2 linked regions of the Coturnix japonica genome follow. The protein of the gene in region 1 purifies or fractionates together with the protein of each later gene. This does not show direct contact. Links are inferred from orthologs where the notes say so. Each region holds a gene or a part of one and is shown on either strand. Other genes may lie near its edges. The genes, in order: SFN and GAN.

Evidence for each region.
Region 2: the proteins of SFN (region 1) and GAN purify together in Homo sapiens (affinity purification with mass spectrometry; 3 studies listed by BioGRID and IntAct, with this or other methods). This does not show direct contact. The link is inferred for Coturnix japonica from reciprocal best matches to the Homo sapiens genes SFN and GAN.

What each region holds. Positions count from the first base shown.
Region 1 is NC_029538.1:1,605,121-1,608,524, forward strand, and holds SFN (14-3-3 protein sigma), read left to right. Parts: upstream 1-1,481; 5' UTR 1,482-1,634; coding exon 1,635-2,375; 3' UTR 2,376-2,874; downstream 2,875-3,404. UniProt on the Homo sapiens protein: Adapter protein implicated in the regulation of a large spectrum of both general and specialized signaling pathways. Binds to a large number of partners, usually by recognition of a phosphoserine or phosphothreonine motif.
Region 2 is NC_029526.1:13,711,188-13,715,004, forward strand, and holds part of GAN (gigaxonin), read left to right. Parts: coding exon 1-26; intron 27-658; coding exon 659-808; intron 809-1,065; coding exon 1,066-1,202; intron 1,203-1,588; coding exon 1,589-1,717; intron 1,718-3,817. UniProt on the Homo sapiens protein: Probable cytoskeletal component that directly or indirectly plays an important role in neurofilament architecture.

The sequences.
Region 1 (3,404 bases):
CCCCACCATGTGGCTGGATGGGGACTGGGACCGCATAAGCTTGGGACCAAGAGCTGCCAGCCCTGAGCAACCCCAATGGGGAGAGGATGTCAGGGATGGGGCTGAGGGTGCTGGCACAGCGCTGGTGAAGCCCTTGGCTCCATCCCCACGTGCTGCCCGCCGCACCCTGCCCTGTGCCGGCGTGTGGGAACAGGCTGAGAGCGAAACTGCAGCGCAACGCCGAGCTCAGATCCTAATCGGGGCCGCCAGCGCTGCTGGGCAGAACTCGAATCAAAATGAGACTGACAAAAAAGAAGGAATAATAATCCCAATTCTTCCAGTACAGCGTAAAGGGAGAGAAAAGAGCCCCGGTGGGATGAGCGGAGAGGGTGGGGGACATGGGGATGGGTGGTGGAGAAGCCTTAATGGGGATCCAGTGGGGTTTGTGGGTGTGGAGCTGCCTTGGGTTTGGGGATGTCCAATGATGGTTCAATGGGGGGGTTGGGGTTGAGTACTTGCAAGTGCCAGGGCAATTCCCCCTGAGCAGGCAGGGTGGAGGAGTTGGGAATGCCCCAATCCCAATCCTGGCCCTGATCCCTGCAGCAGTGCTGGGGTAACGTGCTGCTCCTCCTGCCTCGATTTCCCCACCAGTGGGAATAAATACCAGCCCTTCAAGCCCTTGCAATCACCGACAAGTTAATCATCATATAAAAATGACAGCGATGGGATTTTTGGGGAGGAGACCATTTTTACAGCCAGGTTTATTCCCCGTGCTGTTTCTCTAAGGGTGGTTGGGATGGGGGCACTGGGTGCTGCCGCTTTCCTGCTTCACCCCAATGTGACGACCCCACTGCTCCCTGTTCTGAGCACTCCTGGCAGATGGGGAAGGGTTCCCCCATTGGTCCATGGTCCCCCATTGATCTGGGATCTCCATTGATTCCTGGTCTCCCATTTATTTGGGGTCCCCCATTGATCCGGTTTCCCCCATTAACTCAGGGTCCCCCATTGATCTGGGGATCCCATTGACTGATCCCAAGTCTTCCAAGTATTTGGGGTTTCCCATTGATTTCGGGATCCCACTGATTCCAGGTCTCCCGTGGGTCTGGGTATCCCATTGATCCAGGCTCTCCCACTGGTTCAGGCTCCCCCACTGATCTGGAGTCCCCACTGATTCTAGGTCTCCCATTCATTTGGGGTTTCCCATTGATCCGGGGTCCCCAGTTGATCTTCCCTCCTCCATTGTTTCAGAGTCTCCCACTGACATAGGATGTCCCATTGATCCAGACTTCTCCATTGATCCAGTGGGACATCCCATTGACACAGGGGGGGCTCACCATGAACTCCCTGAACACATCCTCTCCCTCCCGGCACCCACCTGATCCAGGGCAGGGTGGGTGCCACCCGCTCACCCCTTCCCCATCACCCTGTGCCTCGGGGCATGATGACTCACGGCAATTTGCTTTTTAAGGGCGGGCTCTGCGGGGAGGAAGCAGAGGAGGAGGAGGCCGCTCCTTCAGCCTCGTTGGCTCCTCCTGCTCTTGCTCGGGGCTCCGACGCTCAGCCAAAAGCGAATCGGGGCGGTGAAGCTCAGCAGAGGCTCCGACGGCTCCCGGCCCCACTCCTCGTCTCATCCTGCTCCTCATCCGCCCTCAGCCATGGCAAGAAACCACCAAGTGCAGAAAGCCAAGCTGGCCGAGCAGGCTGAGCGCTATGAGGACATGGCGGACTTCATGAAGGCGGTGGTGGAGCATGGAGACGAGCTGTCCAACGAGGAGCGCAACCTCCTCTCCGTCGCCTATAAGAACGTGGTGGGCTGCCAGCGCTCGGCGTGGAGGGTCATCTCCAGCATCGAGCACAAAACCGAGGAGGGAGACGACAAAGCGCAGCTGGTGAATGAATACAGGGAGAAGGTGGAAGAGGAGCTGAAGGGCGTCTGCAACGTGGTGCTGGGCTTGCTGGAGAAGCACCTCATCAAGAAGGCCGGAGATGCAGAGAGCAAAGTGTTCTACCTGAAGATGAAGGGAGACTATTACCGATACCTGGCTGAGGTGGCCTCCGGCAACGACCGCAAGGAGACGATCGACAGCGCCCAGAAGGCGTACCAAGAGGCCATGGACATCAGCAAAAAGGAGATGCAGCCCACGAACCCCATCCGCCTGGGGCTGGCCCTCAACTTCTCCGTCTTCCACTACGAGATCGCCAACGCCCCCGAGCAGGCCATCTCGCTGGCCAAGACCACCTTCGACGAGGCCATGGGGGACCTGCACACGCTCAGCGAAGACTCCTACAAGGACAGCACCCTCATCATGCAGCTGCTCAGGGACAACCTGACGCTATGGACAGCCGAGTGCGCGGGTGAAGACGGCGGCGAGGCTGGCGAAGAGCCCAAGAACTGAACGGCCCCCAATGCAGCTGGGGTCCATCCCCCACCTCCTTCCTCCTCCCCTCCCTCCCAGACTCCCCCCCCTTTCCCCTTCCCCTTCCCGAAGCCCTTCGGTGTCTTTTCCTTTTGTTTTGTTCCTTTTTTAAGGAGTGGGGAAGGTATTTCGCCCCCCCACCCTTACCCCCCCTCCAGTTCTGGGAGTGGGGTCCATATGTTTGCCCTTTGGCAGGGCCTCCCCTTTCCTTCTCCCCCCCCCCATGTTCTTGTCATGCTCCCCTCACCCCTTTAACACTTTGTTTGGGGGATACCCCAGCGTAGCTTAGGGGGGGCCCTAGCCCTCTGTCTTGGGGGGCTAGAGCCGTGCCGCTGGTCCCTTGGGGGCAATGGGAGGAGGTGATGGGACGGGATGGGGAGAAAGGGGAGGGGGGGGGTTGATGTGCCCCCCACCCGGATGGAGGATTGCGAATTGCCGAAGCCTCTGTGTGGCTCCAATAAACCATCTCGTGCACGTCTGCCTCTGTGGTCGCCTCATCTCTCCTGTCGTGCACAAGCCCAGGCAGCTCCTGCAGCTCCCACAGCCGGTCCCATTGCGTGCCACGCCATGCTGGGGAGCACTCGGGGCCTCCAAAGTGCAGGTCTGGCTGCCTGCAGCCCCTCCCAGCCCCGCCATGGGGTGTGGGGGTACTCAGCCAGCCCCAGACCTCAGGGACGGGTCTCAGAATGGGCTTTCTAGGTGGGTTTTCCATAGGGAGAGTATGTCCCAGGTCTCCAGCCCTGCAATTGTATGTCCCCATTCCCATGGTGTCTCCATCCCTTTGGTTTTCCCATTCTTGTACTGTCCTCATCCCCAAGATGTTCCTATGGTGTCCCCACCCCCATAGTATTTCCATCCCCGTAGGGTTTCCATCCCCATGGTGTCCCCATTCCATAGTGTCCCCATCCTCATAGTGTCCCTATCCTCATTATGTTTCCACCCTTATGGTCTTCCCATCCCTATGATGTCCCCATCCCTACAATGTCCCCATCCCCATCTTGATGTCCC
Region 2 (3,817 bases), on another chromosome or scaffold:
GGAGTTCGTTGCCACCGATGAATGAGGTAAAGATCATTGTTTGACTCTTGGAGTTGGTTTTTCTTTTTCCTACTTCAGCAAAACATTCAGTTGTTTCTGCAGGATTATAGTCTGAATCTCTGATCATTTGCATCGTGTGCATTCAGAGTCATGGTAGGGTTTGCTTCCTGCTTATACCCTGTTGTTACCTGCAGCCTGCTAACAGCTGCAGGAGTGGCAAACACAAACTGTTACTGAAGAGCTGCTTCAAAGAGGAACTTGAGGAATTCCTTGCTGTCGAGGGCCTGTACTTGAGCTCAAAGGAAATCCACGTTTGTAGTTGTGATGCACTTTGAGAGTACAGACCTGAAAAGTTTCATTGTGGAGACCACTGCTGTGCAGACTGAAATACGGCCAAGCTCTGTTCTAAGGTTTCTGCAGGGTCTCTTTTGCTTTTGCTGCTCTGTTTGTTTGTTTTTAGTACCCTTTGTATTCTTTAATTGGAGAATATAATAATCTTATTTGTGAGATTCAGACTTCATTGTATTAAAAAATAACAGAAAAACCACTGTAGTAATTGATACCAGTATCACTTGTCTGACAGACACGAGAGAAGATTGTATTGACTGCTCAGTTAGCAGTTATGTTTTACAGTGCTGACCTCATTGATATCCCTTAGGCACGACATAATTTTGGTGTGGTGGAGATTGATGGAATTCTGTATATTCTGGGAGGTGAGGATGGTGAAAGGGAACTAATCTCTATGGAGAGTTACGATATCTATAACCGTACCTGGACCAAGCAGCCGGACTTGACCATGGTTAGAAAGGTAAGAGCTACATTGTATTTTACCACCTTCCTTGCTGTTAAACAGTTTCAACTATCCTGTGTATCATAAGGCTTTGTTTCAATTAGAAACTCTTAACAAGTGGCAGGGAAATGAGAGCAGGTCCCTTGTTAATGTGTATGTTAGAACCATGACTGAATGTTTATGTATAATATACATAAATGTGCAGAAGTGTGTGTATAATCAATTTTCAGCTCTGGATATCGCGTGTTTATGTGCAATTTTCTTTTTTCTTTGAGATTGGCTGCTATGCAGCTATGAAGAAGAAAATCTATGCAATGGGTGGAGGCTCCTATGGGAAGCTCTTTGAGTCTGTTGAATGTTACGACCCCAGGACTCAACAGTGGACAGCCATCTGTCCTCTGAAAGAGAGAAGGTGGGTGAAGGTGAAGCTTGGGGGGAGAGGGATGGATAGATTGCTGGAGTGTATCCAGTCTGAGCCCTCCAAAATGGTTCCTAAAGCACCATTATTATGGTGGCTGAGTAAAGAGAAGAATCCAACCCATCAAAATGTGCTTAGCATGTCACAAGCAATGCTATCCTGAAGCAAAATGAAGAGTAGAGGTTGTCATCCAATTGGAACTTCAGCTTTTTCTCTAGAGATAAATACATTACTGTAGTGGTAAATACATATATTTTTTTTCATCAATACATGTTATATCTAAAAATACATGTAAAAAATGAGAGAACTCAGAAGGATGGAATGTTTTATTTTATCTTCTGATTGTGTTTTTTGCTTCTTTTTCCTTTCTGGATTCCCAGGTTTGGGGCAGTGGCCTGTGGAGTTGCCTCTGAGCTTTATGTGTTTGGGGGGGTCAGGAGTCGTGATGACAGCCAAGCCAGCGAGATGGTGACGTGTAAATCTGAATTTTATCATGATGAATTTAAAAGGTAACTAATTACAGCTATAAACCTGGGGAATGCATACAGATCAGCAGTCACAGTTGGTTGGCTCTGGAAACAGTGTAGATTCTTGTCATAAGAAAAGGTGCTGTGGGTGCTGTTCAGTCCACAGTTGCCTCCAGATGCTACACGTGGCCGATCTCCTCTTGTTTGTTTTGAATTTGTTTCTGGTGATTTCATTTGTTATCTCTTGGCTTTTGTTTTAGAATCTGCTTCGCTGCATGTGGTAACTGCTTTAAACATAGCTTACATTAGGCTGAATTTTATGGATAGTTAATTCATGCTCCGGGTGTCACTGGGAAACTTTTGTACCTGCACTCTTTTCTTTTTGCATTCAACTATAAATGGGATTTCTTTGCTTTTTTTTTTTTTTCTTCTTAACTGAATTGAAATAAGACTCTGCTGTCAGATATCTCAAAGTGAGTTAAATATGGCAGAGAGAACTAAATCTGTTACAAGATTGCATCTTTGAATGTAGCCTATATAAAAGCACATAAAAATCGTATAGCAGTGGGGAATTTATTATATAACTTCAATCTCTGTATGAAATGGACTTTTAGTTGTTCTAAGTCACATCCATGTGAGCCCTGACCAAAAGAAGCTGGAGAGGAAATGCACGTCAAGGTGGTTATGGGAAGCAGACAGATAAGAGTTGCTACTGATCCTCCCTGGTGTTTTTTGTTTCTTTGGGGCCATGGGGAAATGTTATAAGCAAATAAGGCTCAGGACAGGAGGGTTTGCAGAAGAAAAATTCTGGAAATAAATGCTTTCCGACAAACTACCTCCTGGTTTTGGTTGACCTGACGGAAATGTTTCCAGACTGATGCTGTTCCTCAGAAGGTGCTTTGTGGCTCACAGTTCCTTACCAGTGACTGTAAACCTGTCTCACTGGTTGGTGCAGTTTGAGCGCAGGTGAGTTGGTGCCACCTGCTGTCTGTAGCACCGGTTCCTGCCAGGCCTGCGTTTCTCTGTTTTTGCTTAGTGGCATCCTAGGGAGTTACAGGATTCAAGTAAAGGTATGATGCAGTTCCAGTTCAGCTCTTGATTTTGTACCCCATCAGTCATGCGAGTGCCACAAGGGCTGTGCTGGCACAAGGTGAGATAGCAGTAGTCTGAATGTCCAGCTGCAGCTGGAGGCACCTGTAGGGAGCTGCTCAGATTGTCTCTTTGTCCTTCTGCCTTGCCAGTGTGTGTCATTTGTTTGGGAAATTCATCTTGATGTGAACCTGAGTTGGGGCTGTAGGCAGCTCCCGGGTGACCAGGACAGTCACCAGCAGTGCTACCTTTGCACTAAGCACTTCTTTGCTCTCTGGTTTGGGTAGAGCCCGTTTTCCCCCTCTGGAGCAAGAAGTGATGTTACTTACCAGGAGAGGGTGCTGTGATACCATGCTCTGTTACTACATCAGCCAGCAGGGACTGGCAGTTATCCCCAGATCCAGACACAGCCACACTTTGCAGGTTGAGTGCCATCTGTCACAGGCAGGGCAGGGCTTGAGGAGCCTGAGCTGTGTCTGCTTAGGGACAGTTCCTCCTTTTCATTAGTGCATGGCTAATGTGATACATACAGAGACTGATTCGTCATCTTAATGTTTCACAGTTACTACAGGTTATTAATTTATTATTGAAAAGCATGTATATTTCTACAGTGATAGTAGTTGCATATTGTTATCTCATTCTTCCTAACAAGCCACATCGTTTTCTGGCTGGGTTTAATTAACTTCAGAACTCCATTACGTTTGCTTTCTTTATGAGTATAAAAGCACTTCTGGTTGTTTGAGTTCAGCCTTCAGATATTGCTGGTTCACAGCTATGGGCAGCAATGGGCACATCTCATATATGTGTCATATCTCTCATTACCTGTGAGTAGAGGATGTAGCATCATCCTAGGAGCACGCAAGGAACTGAGTTACAAGTTTTGCTTAGTGTGTAAGAATAAGCATATGCAATTACATCAGTGCGTAAATCTGTTTTGGATTGGATGAAAGGAATGAGGCTTGACCTTATTCTGATGGCAACTGAGTCCAAAACAATTCACAGTGCATAGTCTTTCAGAATTGCAGTGCTTAAGTACAATAGAGACTCGTCCAA